Notamacropus eugenii: one gene and its partner. The protein of the gene in region 2 interacts with the protein of the main gene of each other region in a pairwise test. Links are inferred from orthologs where the notes say so. Each region holds a gene or a part of one and is shown on either strand. Other genes may lie near its edges.

Region 1 (8,198 bases), on a different chromosome or scaffold from region 2:
AGTGCAGGGAAAGGGACCAGCCCAGAGTTCCATAACACACAAAGTAAGAAACAAGCTGGAATTTGAATCAGGACCTTGATTCTATAAATGATGAGTTCACAGGCATAACTAGGCATTCTCTCTAGTTTCCTATCCTGCCTGGCTCCAGGTAAACTGAAGGGATTGGCTCCCCCAATCATCTCAGCTCACTGCTCCTGGGGGTTTCCTAACAAAGTTAGCACAGAATGGAAAGAGTTAGTAATTCTTCCCCTGTCCTTTTAAAATCATATTCTGTAAAGACTCAGTCTTCACTGACAATAAGAAACCAATGGGGCTAGTTAGACACCCAGACCTGTTCCAAACAGGGACAATCTTAGTTTTGGGATTCCCCCCTCCCACCAATAGGGACCTTAGGGCTTCCCTGAGGCTTCTGAGACACAGAAGAAACCTCCTATTTCTTTTGGGTCAAACATTAAAAAATCTTCTGGATCAAAAGGAACCTTTCCTGAAATCTATTGACAGCTAGATGACTCAGTGGATAGGTTGGGAGTTAGAAAGATCTAAATTAAAATCTGGTCTCTTAAACTGTGTGACCCTGGGCAGATCACTTAATCTGTTTGCCTAAATCCACTGTAGAAGGAAATGGCTATTGCAAGGGCCAAGAAAACCCCTGGATAAAAGTCCAGAGGGCATGAAACGTCAGACAGCTAAACGGTTGAACAACATGGTCAGGCCAAAGTAACAAAGAAAAATACTAAAGCCTTGGGAACCTGGACTAATAGTGAGCAGCAGAGGGAGTGTACCTTGGAGATGTGATCTTAAAAAGTCCCTATATTTATTTAATTTCATTGCCAACTCCTGGAAAACCTGTGCCAGAGCTTCCCTGCCTTTTCTCTTCTCTTCTAGAACTGAACCCCACTCACCCCCTTTTTTCTTGCTCCGCAATAAAATTGTTATCTTGTGTACAGTTCCCTTGGGACCTGTTTTATACTTTCCAAGGTGAGCAAGCTTGCTGATCTGCTAAAACACAGGCAGTGTGTATGGAGTGTGAAAGAGTGAGCTCTAGTAACCTTTTGACGATTACTAACTATGTGACCTTGGGCAAAGCATAGTTAGTACCCAGTTTCTTTATTTGTATCCCCTTACCTAGTAAGCAGTCCCTGTAACAAAGATTATAATATTTACCCTACACTTCACAGGATTGCTGGTAGGAAAATGACCAATAAACCTTAAAGTGCTATAGAAACATGAATTGTCACTTAATCTGAATCTCAGAAAACTATAAAATGGGGAAACCTCACACAATTGTTTTAAAGATCAAGTGACATGGGATAAATGCAACAATTCTGTAATAAAATATAAATATGGAACTAATCTCATAACTCAACCATGGAATTAATCTGCTCTGAAAGGCTTTCATCCATATACACACATATCACATATAGCACATCACCCTAACAGACAGCAGGTACCTTTTGGAGACAACTTAAGTCTTTTGATCTTTGCTGTCTAATCTAGAGGAGGAATCTGAGTGGCAATGACAATTGGGTCCTAGGGTACTTCTCAAATCATACCATACCTATTTATACCTATCTGCCTAAAAAGAGAGCCAGCCACGTCCAGGCTCACCGTAGCTACTGCAGTCCTCCAGGCTGACTCTCCAGTCGTCACCTTGGCTTTCAGCATGCAGCTTGGCATGGACCGGGGAGATGAGGACAGGCTCACACTGGGGCCGAAGGGCCACATCACACAGGTCAGCTCTGAGGCCCAAGTGGTAGGTACAGCCAGCCCCAGTGGGAGGGTGAAAAGTATAGAGATCTCCACCCTTCCCAACCCCCATGCGAAGCAGCTGGAAGCAGGGCAACATGGGGGGAGGGGCTTTCCCCTATGGACTCCCTTCTAAAGTCAGGGAATACATAGCTCTTTCTACCCTTGGGTAATTAAAAATGGAGAGATGTTCAGATGCAAACTTGGAGTACAATTCTTGTGCAATTCGGTTCAGTACAACGAAAATTTGGAAGGTATTCAGCTCGCAAACCGAGGGGGACAACTTGGCCTTGAAAGAAAAAAATTAAGGTGTCATCCCCGGTGCAATGCAAAACTAGGGAAGATGTATCAGGCTAAATTAAGGACCGGCTCGTAACCCGTGAAACTAACTAACACCCGGAGTATTGGATACTATTGTATACTCAGTTGGTACAATGTAACAGTAGGGATCGTAATGAGGCCGGTTTCCACCACTGTTTAATAATAACTTAGTTATTCGGTGCAATTGGGGGCGAGGGGGCCCTTTCTTTCAAAAGGACTTTTCCAGAGGTCCTCCCCCCGCAACTTTCCTGGCTCAACACCTCACTCTTGTCAGGGGGCTTAAGAACCTTTCAAGGTGATAAGACTGCAACCCCGGAAATGCGGGCTGAGGATCCCTATTTCTGGAGTAAAGCGAAGCAAGATCCCTTACCTCCCTCCCCTCTGGAGTGCAATGCAAACCTGGGGTCCTACTGCTTCCGAAGCAATGCAAACGCGGGTCCCCCCAGCCCGGGCAGCCTAATTTCGGATCAATCAGTGCCGGACAATCTCAGCGTGCCGTGCCCCTCCCTCAGGCAATACAAACCTCGACCGAGGAGGCTAGGACCCCAGTCCCCCCTCCACAGGACCCCCACCCCACCCTGTCCCCCGCGCGCACGCTCGGGCTGAAGTTTGACAGGGCTAGCAAAAGCAGAGGGCTCAGGCAGAAGCCGGGCCCGGAGCGGAGCTGGGCGGAGCCTCCGAGGACAGGCGAGCGTCCAACACCTTCGCAAACTCCCCGGGCCCGAATTCCGCGCGCCTCAGATACCCCGCCCCCTCCCGATGCCATTTCCCCATTGGACAGTCCTCATTCCATCGCCCAGACCCCATTGGGCGGTAGTCAGGAAAGGCACAAAAAGGACCCGGCGCGACCGCTTTCTTCGCTTCCCGATTGGCCATTGAATTTTCCCGGGTTTCAGGGAAAGGAGGAGGAGCTCGGTGGGGAGGAGGGATCTGTAAGGGCGCGGGGATAGGCCGAGTCCCTGGATTGGTTCACCATATGGACGCCACGGCGCTTGCGTGTCTCGATTCGTCCTCCCTCCCTCCCCATTCCGAATGAAGTACGCGGGTCCCGGAGCCCGCCGGCTGGCCCGCTCTGCGCAAGCGCGGTCAGTCTGTGGAGGGCGGGGTACTTTGTGGCGGAGGTGGGGCAACAAGGGGAGGGTGGGGTCTCGCGCTGGGTAAGGGGGCACGAGAGTGAGTCAGTTGAGGGCGGGAAGGGGTGGAGGGGGGCAAGGGAACGTGGGCACTAGGGAGCTGAGGGGGACAGGGGCAGGGCAAAGGAAGTGCTGGAGGTCTGGGGCCGTGGGGCGAGGGGGCACCGAGAGACGAGGAACGGGGCGAGGAGGGACACGAAGGGCCCGGGGAAGAGGGAGCAGGAGCTAGGGGAGGCTTGGGGGAAGCGGGGGCGCTGAGGGGCGGCCAGAGAGCTGCAATTGTGACGGGACCCGGGCCGAGCAAATTAGAGGGAGGGAGGGGGGAGCGTAGGACGGGGAACAAAGTGGGTGAGAGAGGGGGCGGGGCACGGGGGTGCAGGAGAGGCGGGGAGGAGGGCGGCTGGAGTGGATGGTAAGCGCCATAGAGAGAGAAAGTGAGAGCATCAGGGTGGGATGAAAGACAAACTAACAGGGGCTAGAGATGAGCAGAAGGCCCCACATGGGCAAAGGACTGTTAGACTTCCTGCTCACCCAGGAAGATGGTTCCGAAAATTGCTTTGCTGTTAATGGTAACTCGAGATCTCTGCATCTTACAGACTTCGTCTGGTGCCAAGCAGTATGCTGACTCTTTGATGGGGAGTGGGAAATCAGTGTTGGGAATAATGGTGGGGGGGAGGGGATTAACCCCCGGGGCCACCCTGAGCAAACCATCCAGTGGAGCTGCTTCCCTAGCCCTTTAATTCCGTACGTGCTCACTCACCTTCAGATCACAGAATAAGAAAAGTAGAGCCCAAAGGGGAGAGAAAGGCGCTACCCAAGTCCTATGAATGCCATGTAGACCTTCAGGGGTCTGGAGGCCTTAATCCTAGATCCTGCTTCCCTTAGAAAATTATTTTTTATCGTGGGTTTTGTGTTATGGAGTCTCTTATCAAAGCTAGGTGGGAGCCAGCCACTGATTATTTCATAGATGTTCCAGTTTGTCACTTTCAAAAATGAGGGTGATAGGGATGGGGAGGGGAAGGAAAGAAATGATAACTGGATAGATGTTAAATTACCTAAGGAATTGGCAAGGTTATCATAGGATCTTTCCCAGGGATTGGTTGGAACCTTGGAAAATGAATTGGAGCTTGAGGTGTTTCTCTTGCTCCACAGGAAAAAATGGATGGCTGGAGAAAGAACCTGGAACCCCCATCCACTTTTGGGATGTTCCAGTCTTCAGGTAAAAGGGATAGGGATGGATTATGGAATTGGAGATTGCATACCCTATTTCTATACCTTCAATATTGACCTTTCTGTCCTCTGCTTACTCAGGTCTCACTGGGCTCATGCCTCCATCTCATTTCCAAACACGGCCCCTTCCAAGCATGTCCAGGACCACTTCTGTCCAGTCCCCACCCTTACCCATAGTCCTGCCTTCACCCCATCACGGCTATGATAACAATGATCGTAGATGGGAGCATCATAGACTACAAATTTTGAGAGAACAAGATGGGGCAGGTGATAGTGAGGATCCCAAAAGAAGGACCAGGTAGGGATCTAGTTATTCTAGCTTCTGCCTGTAATTGTTCTTCACTTCTGTGTTAATTATTTTTAAAAGTTTAATTGATGGATTTTTCTTTTATTTTCCATTAATTTCCATATATACCCTTCTCTCCTATCTTACCCCACAAGCCTTCCCTTGTAAGAAAGATAGAAAACAAACAGTTCTGATTTTTTAAAATTCTGTGTACCTTCTGCTTTTGTGTATGAAATTTGAACTGTATTATTTGATCTTTTGTATTTTTTCTTGTCTCACGTGTATATCCTGACTCTTCTAAATTTAATGTCTTAATAAAATTATTGATTTTAGAGTGGAGTTACAGGCAGGTCTATCTTAGATCCTGTCCGCTACTGTTTTTGCTCCTGAATTACCAAAGGACTTTGTTATAAGGCAGCCATGGATTCTGAAATAACATTGTGATGATATTAGAGCTGTTTCTCAAGGACTGGGATCATGTCTTTTATTTTTATTGCCTCCTCTCAGAAGGTTTAGGAGAATTTATACCGTAAATGCTCAATAAATTATTAACCAGCCCCTATTCTTGTCACATTAGAACAAGAGGATCCATTGCCTTCTCTGCCCCTACCTCAGGTTGGAGTTCAGGCTCCTCATTCTCTCAAACCAGAGCACAGAAGACTGAGTATCCCTTCCTTTTCCACCTCAAGCCGAACTCTTAGATTCATAATGTCTTCATCTACTTGTGAATCAGATATCCTAGCACTCATTGTACCATTCATGAGGTACACTTAATTGATGCAACTATGCAATAGATGCAACTGTTATCTTTTTACGTATGTGAATGCCTTCCCTCAACTAGGATAAGGCCCGTTAAGTACACTTAAAGGTATAGATTATGGTACATACCTTTTTGTATCCCCAGCATCTAGCTTAGTATCCTACACATAAAAAGTGCTAAGTAAATGTTTAAGGAGTAGATCACAGAATCCTTACTGTTTCCAGGTTTTGCATCCTCTTGTGTGTCTGACTGACTTCCAGTTTCCCCCGAGGCACCCTTTTCACTTCCTTATCCTTACATATCAGATCAGAGAAGTCCTCATAACTACCTAGATGGAAACAGAGCGGCCCTCTTGTCCATCCCTTTCTTGTGTAAGACCAAAGAGGCCATATCTCACCTATAACTTTCCCCAAAGGTCCCTGGACTATGTAGGGCCACAAGGCTTGAATTCCCGAACTGAAATGATCTCTCAACAACTGGAAGAGATTCGGAGACTTGAGATTGAGAGCCAGGCTTTGCGGTTGGCTTCAGTCCATCAGAAGGCTCATCTGGCAAGCCAGGGTGAGGAGCTGGAAGTCTTAGGACAGGCAAAACAGGCAATGCGGGTTGAGGTGGAGGAGCTTCGTGCTGCTTTGGCTGGGGCAGAGCTCATTCGGAAGAAATTGGAAGAAGGAAACAGACAAGAGCTTGAAGAGACTCAGAGGGTGCACAAGGAACAGGTGAATGAGAATAAGAAAATACTAGGTGTTAGTTGGGATTTGTCTCAGTTCCACATGGTAGGGAATTAATCTGAGATAATCACTTTAGCAAAGATCCTTTGATATTCAATTAGAATAGTAATCTGCTTGGCCAGGAAGATGTTGAGAATTGAGAGTAAAGCAGAACCTGAAGGAAGCAGGCTGGGGCTGTTAGGATAGGGTTCTCTCCATTCATCCTCCTTGTTCTCTTTCCCCACTTCTCAGAATTCAGATATCCTGCTTCTCTCCCAAAACTTTCATTTACTTCTTAGTACTCAAATATTCTACCTATTTTCCTTTTGGAACTCATGTTAAAATGGACCCCAAACACTATCTGCCTAGAATATTGCTGTAGTCTCCTAACATGTCTTCTTCCATCACTATTCCCTCCCTCTCCATTCCAATGTATCCTTCACATTGTCGCCCTCCTAATATTCTTTGTCAGATGTATATTTGATTGAGTCACTCTTCTATTCAAAATCCTTCAGTAGTTCCCTATTGCCTAAATAAAGTTAAAACTCCTTAGTCTGGCTTTCAAGACTGTCCAGAATCTGGGCCTGCCTAAACCCTCTGGTCTTATTTCATATTACCCCCTTCCATACACTGTATATGCTTCAGCTACATTGGATTGTCCTTCATACATATCCTGTTCTTTCCTACTTCCATACCTTTATTCAAATTGTACTCAGTGCCTACCTGAAGTGCCTCCTTGCTTACTGAATTCCTACCCATTCTTTAAAAACTAGATTACATGCCTCTTGCTCAAACAAATAAACAAAACACCTCAAACTCACAACTTTCCTCATTCTCCTCACACATAGCACTGTCATTCCTCCCTTGGACTATAAACTTGATGAGATCAGGGACAATTTCTTAGTCTAAATTTTATATCTGCTCCAATGCCTAGCACAGTGCTCTAAATACAGTAGCCATTTAATACATGTTTGTCAGGTATTATATTAATTAAAATAAGAGAGTGGGGAAGATGGAAATAGAGGCCCAGGAAGGGAAGGGAGATAGGAAGCGAAGAGAAGTAGGCCACTAGGAAGGAGTTTGAGTGAGGAAGTGGGAACTTTTAGAGGAAAGATGAGAAGCTCCTTCCAATTCAGCCCCTGCTCTGTCATTGTTTTCTTCTTGAGATCTCTCAAATGACCGCAGCTCACCAGGAAGCTCTTGCTACCCTGGCCAACAAGGCCCATGAGTTGGAGGAGAAACTCAAGACCATGGAATCTAAGAGGGAAAAAGAGACCAAGGAGTTGGCCGTTGTACAGAGGGAGGCTAAGATGTTAAGGGAGGAACTAAGGTGAGGAGGAATATAGGGTCAATAAAAGTAGTCAGCAGCTATGTAGGAAGAGCATGTTTCTGGGGTCTTTCACTGATAGCCTTTACTTTCTCACTCCTACTCACCAATCTTAGTAAGGCGCATTCAGATCTCAAGGCCCAGGTGGCCCTTGTTGAGCAGCTTAGGAGGTACGTAGGGGATCAAGTCCCACCAGAAAGCAAGAACCAGACATGGGAGCAGGAGAGGAAGCAGCTGCTGGAGACGGTGCAGGTGAGAGATAAGCTCAGTGGTTTTATCCTTGGGGGGTGGAAATGGGGATGTGGGTTGGGAGATTGGAGGTGGATACAGAGATTCTTTTGGAGCTGATGAATATGCATAGCTTCTGGGGGGAAATAGTCCTTAGTTTAGAAGGGGATTTTACCCTGTGGTACACAGAGACCTGAGGGGAGGGAGAAGTAGGCACATTTTAGGGACAAGTACAAAGATGTTACTGTAGATAAGAATTTCCTTTCCCTGGCCAGCATTTGCAGGAGGATCGGGATGCCCTGTGTACCACTTTGGAATTGCTACAGGTTCGAGTGCAGAGCCTCCAGGACATCCTTGCCCTACAGGAAGAGGAGCTGGGTCGGAAGGTATGCTTGGCTCTCTTCATAGCATTCAAGTATTCTCTCTGCAAGAGTCCCATCTGGGACTTCCCTACCAG
Region 2 (7,948 bases):
AAGCCACATTTATATTAATATTAAATGCTAAAAAAAGCCTGAAAATTATCATTTTTCTTTTTAGTGGTAAGCACACAACCTTCCTAATGCTCTCTTAAGAATAAAAAACTAGACAATATCTTCCATAGCTAAGTGAAAGTGGAAGACATTGTTAGCCCTAAGAAAGAACTGAACCTGATGGAAACCAGGAGTAGAAACTAGTGCTATATACAGCATCACTGCATAATTGGAGGAGAGGTCTAGCAGGGAGATCAGGAAAACAAACAGAGAAGAAAAACCATCAGAAAAACTGGCTAAGCTTTATACAGTACTTTTAATAAATATTACACATTTGAAACATCACATTGTGAAACTAGATATTTTGTAACTCAGTCTCCTATTACATTCAACTTCACGTATGGTACTTTAGTGGGTCTGTCCCCAAATACAAACTGTATAAGAATGAGAGGGACAGGGGAAAATATGGACTTGGTATTTCACTGGTATCAGAAAGTCCCAATCCCTCTACCAATGCAGGTTGGTACCTCCTCTACAATTTATTATCTTAGAGTTATTGAGGGCACTTAGAGATCAAGTGACTTGCCCAAGATCACCATGGCCAGTATGTGTCAGAGGTGGGACTTGAACCCAGGTCTTTCTGTCTGGGAGGCCAAGTCTATTCAATATACCATGTTGCCTCTAAGTAACTCAATGTCTTTTAATAAAATTAGGATTGTAAAACAGAATGATTAAAGAGAGATCTGGATTAGTAGTCAGAGGACCTGGGCTCAAATTTCACCCAAACACACTTCTGTGTGACTTTGAAAAAGTTGTTTACATTCTGTGCCTCAGTTTCCTTATCTCTAAAATGACAAAGCTGAACTAGAAGGCCTCTGAGGTCCCTTCCAACTCTAAAGATATGAGTATATGATCCTAAGTCACCTACCTTTCTAGTTCTCAGATTTCTCATCTATAAAATAAGGCATCAGACCTCTAAGGTCCCTTCCAACTCTGCATTGGTGATATTGTGAGTATGATTCTGCCGTAACACCATTTATTCAAGTTCTTTATATAATTTCCATATCCAAGAGCCTACTCTTAGGACATGAACACAGTGAATACTAAAAAATTATCATTTGTCAACTCTTCTGGATTCATATCCAAACAATATAACTTTAACTCTGGAAAAAAAAATATGGGTCTCAAAAAGTCATTAAGTATAAATCATTTATTGAGTACACACTATAAACATAACAATGGGATATCAGTTTGTGACTATTTTACGAGAATATGCCTGGCCTTTAAGGTTATCTTTATACTACTAAGGACATTATTCCATCCTGCTTCTTGCATTTATATATGCTATGGTCCATAATTTAAATGGACTCCCTCCACATTTCCACTTGCCAAAAATCTTGACAAGTCCCTGAAAAGATGCAGAGAGGCCTCCTTCACCATATCTTCCATAACTCCCCAAAGCAATGTTTTTCCCTATGAGAGCAATACCTCATGCCTCTTAGCTCAGAGCTGTAGTCTGGAAGAAAAGGTCAAATTCAGCTTCAGATTAGCTAAGCTACCTTGGGTAAAATCACTTCACCAGTTTCCCTCAGTTTCTTCAATTGTAAAATAAGATACCTGTAAAGTACTTAACATAGTATATAGCACAAAGTAGGCACTATATAAGTGCTAGCTATTTTATTACTGTCCATTGTGTCACGATTTGGGGGGTTTATATCTTAGCTTCTCCATCAGACTGTAAGCCTGCCAATTTCCAAGGGTTCTGTTGCTTCCCGTTTGTATACCTAGTACAGAGCGGAGTGCTTTATGTACAGTCAGAAGGCCTGAGTTAAGAGTGACACTGCCACCTACTAGCCTTGTAACTATGGGCACTGACTGAGAACTATGCAGTGTAAAAAAAGTTACAAAGTACTTTTACATACATTATTTCATCTTGCCCATCAATGAAACAGGGATAATTACAGTTCATAATGTTGTTCCAAGAGAAGCACCCTTATAAATTGGGAAGCACCATATAAAGATATGAGATATGCTCATCACAACAAAAACCAAGCATCTTCTACATCCAGTACTGAACAGCAAAAAGAATATAAAGTGTTCCGTGTGTGTATCTGTGTGTGTGTTTAACACACACACACACACACACACACACACACTCTGGGCTGATTTAGGAAACCGTATGCTAGAGACTAGAAGCAGAAACATGTACAGGAAAAATCAGGTTCCCATCATGGATCACAGGCTCACAGTGGAAGAGAACCAGTTAATACCATTACATTGTGAGCGTCCTGGAGGTAGGATCTGGTTTTTTTTCCTTTCTTTGTGACTCCAGCTCTTGGCACAGTTCTTGGCACAAAGTAAGCAATGTTTACTAACTTATTGGAGTCAAAGGACCTCAAGTTCAAATCCTGACTCTCCCACTGGCTACCTCTGCGTGCTCACTTCGCTCTAAGCCTAGGCACACGTGGTGGGGGCAGACACTGTGGGCTAACGTCACAGTAACAGTTCGCTTCTATACCGAGCTGTAGGGCTCCTGGTGGGCTTCATACGCGTTATTCCATTAGATCTACTCAGGGCCCCGGAACCAAGGGAAGCCTCGGGGCCCGCTTCCCGGACCGGCCGTTTCTGACCAAAGGCTGCGGTTCGCCTCCTCCGGCCCCACGCCGCTGCTCCCTGGGGAGACGCCGGCGCACTCCCGCAGGGGAAGGTCGCCCGCTCCAGAGGAGGGCCCGAGGCGCACCCCGGCTGCTCCGAGGGGCGGCCCTCGCTCGCTCTCGCCACTCCGGGCTCCCCGTCACACGCTGACAGCCGGCGCCGCCTCCCGGGCTCATTCAGGCGGGCCCGGGCCACGCTTCCCCTCCCCCAGCCGGCTCCCTCGGACACGGCCCCGGGCCCCACGGTGGCCAGGTCCCACCTCCCCGACTTGTCCCGACCAAGCGAGGGTGACTTCGCCCTAGGTCGCTCCCTCGCCCTCCAGACCCGGCGCCGACGCCTCCCCTCACCTGAGAGGCTGACGCTGGGTGTCAACGTCAGGAGTCTCCCTGACGCGCAGACTCCCAAACGAGGCGAGATGGCTGCCTGGCTCAGCCTACGACCCAGAGAGACCGCTACGGTGCCCTCCCAGGATACCCGAGCCCCTTTCCCCGCAGCAGCCGGCAGCCGGGGGGTCCCCACTGCCAGCCACAGCCAGCGTGAGGAACACCTCGCCGCCATCTTGGCTTGGGGACGCAGCGCCTGCGCGAGCCGGCCTTAGAACGACTCGCCGGGAAAAGGGGGAGGGGCGTGCGCGTGCGCATGCGCAATTCCAGGAATGCAACTGTTGCCTTTCCCGCGAGAAATACCAGAACGCGCATTAAGGAGCAGTTTATGTTGCGCACGCATGACTCATTCCTTAACGGGGAGGTCAAAACTGAGACTAGGAATTGCGTAGAAACCTACTGGGAAGATGGCCTTGATCAGGGATTTTGTAGTAGAGGCGAGGGCTACACGTAACTTGGGCTAAAATGAATTTGATCGCGCCGCTACTAGCGGAACTACATCTCCCAGAGTGCCTTACGGTGAACTCGCTGAACGGATCCCAGGGAGCAAAGCGCCCTACCCCTCAGTGTGACCCTGAGAGGCGGTCACGGTCTTCGCCGTTACTTGCTGGTCTCAGGTTCCAGGCTTTCTACTCCGTTCCACAAGCAAACTTGAACCCCCAGCCTCGCCGGGCGGACCTCCTGGGCTCGAGCATTACTGTTCCGTCAGTGGGCTTGGGGGGACGAGGGTTCGAGGGTTGCAGGGCCGCGTGGTCTTGGGCAAGTCGCCTCCCCTCTGGAGCTTCTTTCCGCTTCTATAAAACCACCCACGTCCCACAGCTCTGGCAACGGGAACAGTTTGTAAATGGCGAAATTCTCCTAGAATTGTGAGCATGTTGTTTCGGGGCAGGGCCAAGGGACCTGCGGCCTCGAGGCTACCTGGGGGCTTCTAGGTCCTTGGGTTCGGCCTTCGGACAGAGGCCAAGTTTGACAGAACAGATCCTGTCTCGGAATCTGCCTCCTTTGTGAAGCCACCTTTGACCTCTGCCCTCCCACCAGGTTCTGTTCTTTTGTACGTATCTCTCTGCCCACATGCTTCGTCCCGCAATCGGAGTCTATTACCTAACATTTTTCGATTTTCTTTGGGACTGACTGGTTTGATCCAGTCAGATCCACAGGAATGAATGTGAAAATGTGAAAAAACGCCTGGGCTTCCTGTGGGATAGACACAACTCCCTTTACTGACCCTCAGATCTGATGTACCTGCCCTGACCCCAAGAGACCTGCGCTCTGGTAGGGGAAAGCTGGCAGGTCAAAAGCTCATCTCAGTGTCTGTGTGTATGCACAGCGTGGGTCTGTCCTGACTCAACTTTCCTGGACCTGTGCAGACCCCACCTCTGAGGACCCTCAGGAGCTCCCGTACCCACCTGTGAACATGTATGTGTCAGGAATGTGTATGCACATAGGTGTAAGTGGGAGGTAGGGAGCCCCATCTGACCTTGCAGAAAGACAGAAGGTGAACCAGACGGCTCTAAGTTTGAGTCTATTTTGGTTTCTTCTCTGGGCTCTCCTAGTTGCTTTCTGCTTTGCAGTGAATCCCAGCGCAGCCTCCTGTCTCCAAGATTCTGCCTGCCTGAACTGCCTCCTGCCTGATGTCTGTCCCAAACGCAGTGGAGTCCAGAGACATTGACCTGATCCAATGCCAGGCTCTCATTCTCTTCTGTTGGCACAAGCCCCAGTCTAAAGCTAAAGAGGGATGGGTTTTGATAGGAGACTTCCATGTGCTTCTAGGATAACGTAAGTACACTAGTTCCTTTGCCCCCCTGACCTCCTCTCTGGATCTTTAAGGGGGCATGGTATGCTATATTAAATTCTACCGAATTCTAACTGAATTAGCAAAGATGATGAATGATGGAAATAGCCATCATTGGACAGGATATGATAAGGTATGTATAAAATGCAAGTTGGTCCCTGTTAGTATGAATAATGAATGGATATTGTGAAGCAGTTGGCTTATTCAAATTCTAACTTCATATTTCAATTGGGCTGGAATCAGTTAACATATTTTACATAATTTTATCTTGGAATAGTGTAAATTCAAATATATTCAACTATTTATATGATTCATCATTTGCATTCATCAGGACTTAGCTTTACATTTTAGTGGAGTTGGTCCAACCATTTTGGAAAGTAATTTGGAATTATGTTACAAAAGCAGCTAAGATGTCCCCACCTTTTAACCCAGAAATATCATTAAGCATATACCTCAAGGAGGTCCAAGATAGAAAGGGCCAATAGATGACAAACTAGCCATTGCCAAATTTTTTGTGATAGTAAAGAACTAGAAATTAAGTGAGAATTGGCTGAAAAGCTTTGAATACATGAGTATTTTTTCAACATAAGGAAGAATGAGCATGAAAAATTCATGAAAACATGAATATGAAAAAAAATCCACAAAAATGTAAATAGAAAGAACAAAAAAGAAAACTCAGTGTTGTGTAATTAATAACCATGCTTGGCTCCAGAGAAGAGCTGAGAAAATGTACTTGCCTCCCTTTATTGACTATGGATGTGAAATATTGCATATACCGTCAGGTAGGGTTGATGTGTTGGTTAGTTTTGCTGAACTACATTTTTTTTTTCATTTTGTTATTATTTGTTATAAGAAATTGTTTATTGGGTGAGGGCATAGGAGGGTGTAATTGGAAATTGACATCATTTATAAAGGGAACCAATAAAAATAATTTTAAAAAACAATTTAAAAAATTATTTTAAAAACAAAATAATTGTAGAAGAAAAGTAGCCTTACTCCCAAATAAACAATGTCCAGCAAACTAAATCACATTATCTCAGAGTTGCAAGGGACCTCAGAGGCCATCAAGTCCAGCCCAAATCTAAATAACAATCCTCTCTACAATATAGCTGACAATTGGTCATCCAGCATTTACTTCAAAGGGGAACTTGCTATCTTCCAAGGTAACTTATCCACTTTGGGACAGCTAATTATAATAGCTAATAAAGCACTTCACATGTATTATCACAATTTTAAAAAATAAATATGTATTGGTATATTTTGTTTTTCTGTGTTACCAGAATTTCTCCCAGAATCTACACCTCCACCCCCTTCCATATAACAAATAAGAGAAAAACAGAGGCAGGGAAAAAATCAGCGAAAATTAATACATAGAAAAAAATGAAAATGTATACAATTAACTATACTTGTGGACCTCCAACCTCTACAAAGGAATGGAGTGAGAGTGTCTTATCCTTTCTCTTCTTTGGGGCCATGCTTGTTATTTGTAATTTTGCAGTATTCACTTTTGATTTTTTTTGTTGTTGTTCTTTCCATTTATATAGTTGTAGTGATAGTGTTATGTTGTTTCATTCTGCATTGGAACATGTAAATCTTTCTTTGCTTCTTTGTATTCATATTTGTCACTTAGGCTCAGTAAGAGTCCATTTATATTATCAAATCTGATTTTTACGACCCTATAAAACAGAGTTTTTTTATTACTCCATTTTAAAACTGAGGAAACTTGGTTGGAGAGACATTAAAAGATTTACCATCACACAGCTAGAAAAATTTCACAGCAGGATTGAAACTCAGGTCTTCTGACTCTTAAGTCCAGCACTTGATCCTGTACGCCATCTACTACTACCTTAACCCTACTTCTTAGGAAGATTTTTCTATTGAGTCTGAACCTGTCTCTCTTCCATTGATTGCTATTCCATCCATTACTTAGAGTTCTGCTCTCAGGGGCTAAAGAGAATTACTTTCTGCTTACTTATCTTTGTACATACTGAATCCCCATTATAGATGGTTGCTTTGTTTTGGTTTTTTATTTTTATCTGTGTATAATTCAGTGCCTTGCATAAGAAGATGTTTAATAAATGTTTGTTGAATTGAGAATTTTATACTTAAGTCCAGTTCCAAATCCTATAAATCTTAACTCAGGTCCCATCTCCTCTGGGAAGCCTTTTGCAAGATGGAAAACATTCTTCCTTGGACCTTCATAGCACATGATTTACAGCTTTCCTATGTGTTTATCTTGTTCTGTTTTGTTTTGTGGTTGTATGTGGTTCCTTCTCTACTACATTGTAAGTTCATGTTCCGATGATCTTTGTGTCTTCCTTAGTACCAAGCAAAATAAATGTTTGTTGAGTTGAATGTGATCTAAAATTTGGCAACCCTTAAAAAGATAATTTCAGATGTTGTACCCCAATGGAATGAAAGTAATTTATGTGCACATATTTGCCCCCTTTATTATAATTCATTATTTTGCTAGCAACTCTTTACAGTCCATTGGACCCTTAAAGCTTCCTTGACCTGAAGGTGTCTATATAGTCTTGTAGAGTATCTAAATGTGAGTTGGTTCAAGGGCAGGGGCAAAATGTACAGGGGTCTGGAAGAAGGACTCAGCACACCAAGAGGAAAAAAGAAGGATGACCTATTTGCTACAAATGACCATACTTCTGGAAACTCATCAATTGCAGATTGAGTTAATTGCACAGTTTTGGGTCTTCATGACTGCTACTTCTTCCAGCATAGATGAAAAATGCATCTGGTCCCCATCTTTTTAGCTCTCTTGGTGACATTAATTTAGTTCCACAATGGTACAGAGGGCAGAAGAGTCCTCACTCCAAGTCCTTGAGAAATTCACTTAAGAAGCAATAATAGTAATGTTTGGTTGAGAATTTCTCAAATGTGTGTTCTGATCACCTCTCTTTTTTTCTTCCCCATCTTTCCTTTGCCTATCTCTCCTGGCAAAACTCCAAGAGGTCTATAGTATATGTGCTCCTGGATATTGTCACTTTGCATAGAGCCTCCTGAGGAACAGAGTCGTTTGAGGTGTGACTTGGGGCAACGATGAAATCATCAAATACATAACCCCATTATCCTGGTTATTTTCCTGTTTGTAAGCCAAGTTCTGGCA

What was found.
Region 1: the proteins of DNAJA3 (region 2) and TCF19 interact in a two-hybrid assay, tested with the Homo sapiens proteins (2 studies listed by BioGRID and IntAct). The two-hybrid records come from large-scale screens. The link is inferred for Notamacropus eugenii from reciprocal best matches to the Homo sapiens genes DNAJA3 and TCF19.

What each region holds. Positions count from the first base shown.
Region 1 is NC_092873.1:85,011,553-85,019,750, reverse strand, and holds the start of TCF19 (transcription factor 19), read right to left. Parts: upstream 3,102-8,198; 5' UTR 2,467-3,101; intron 2,036-2,466; 5' UTR 1,847-2,035; coding exon 1,609-1,846; intron 1-1,608. Other genes in the region: CCHCR1 (coiled-coil alpha-helical rod protein 1), read left to right, coding at 3,682-3,816, 4,353-4,419, 4,512-4,728, 5,892-6,195, 7,353-7,516, 7,630-7,765, 8,017-8,127. UniProt on the Homo sapiens protein: Potential transcription factor that may play a role in the regulation of genes involved in cell cycle G1/S transition. May bind to regulatory elements of genes, including the promoter of the transcription factor FOXO1.
Region 2 is NC_092872.1:58,885,235-58,893,182, reverse strand, and holds the start of DNAJA3 (dnaJ homolog subfamily A member 3, mitochondrial), read right to left. Parts: upstream 3,264-7,948; 5' UTR 3,211-3,263; coding exon 3,000-3,210; intron 1-2,999. UniProt on the Homo sapiens protein: Modulates apoptotic signal transduction or effector structures within the mitochondrial matrix. Affect cytochrome C release from the mitochondria and caspase 3 activation, but not caspase 8 activation.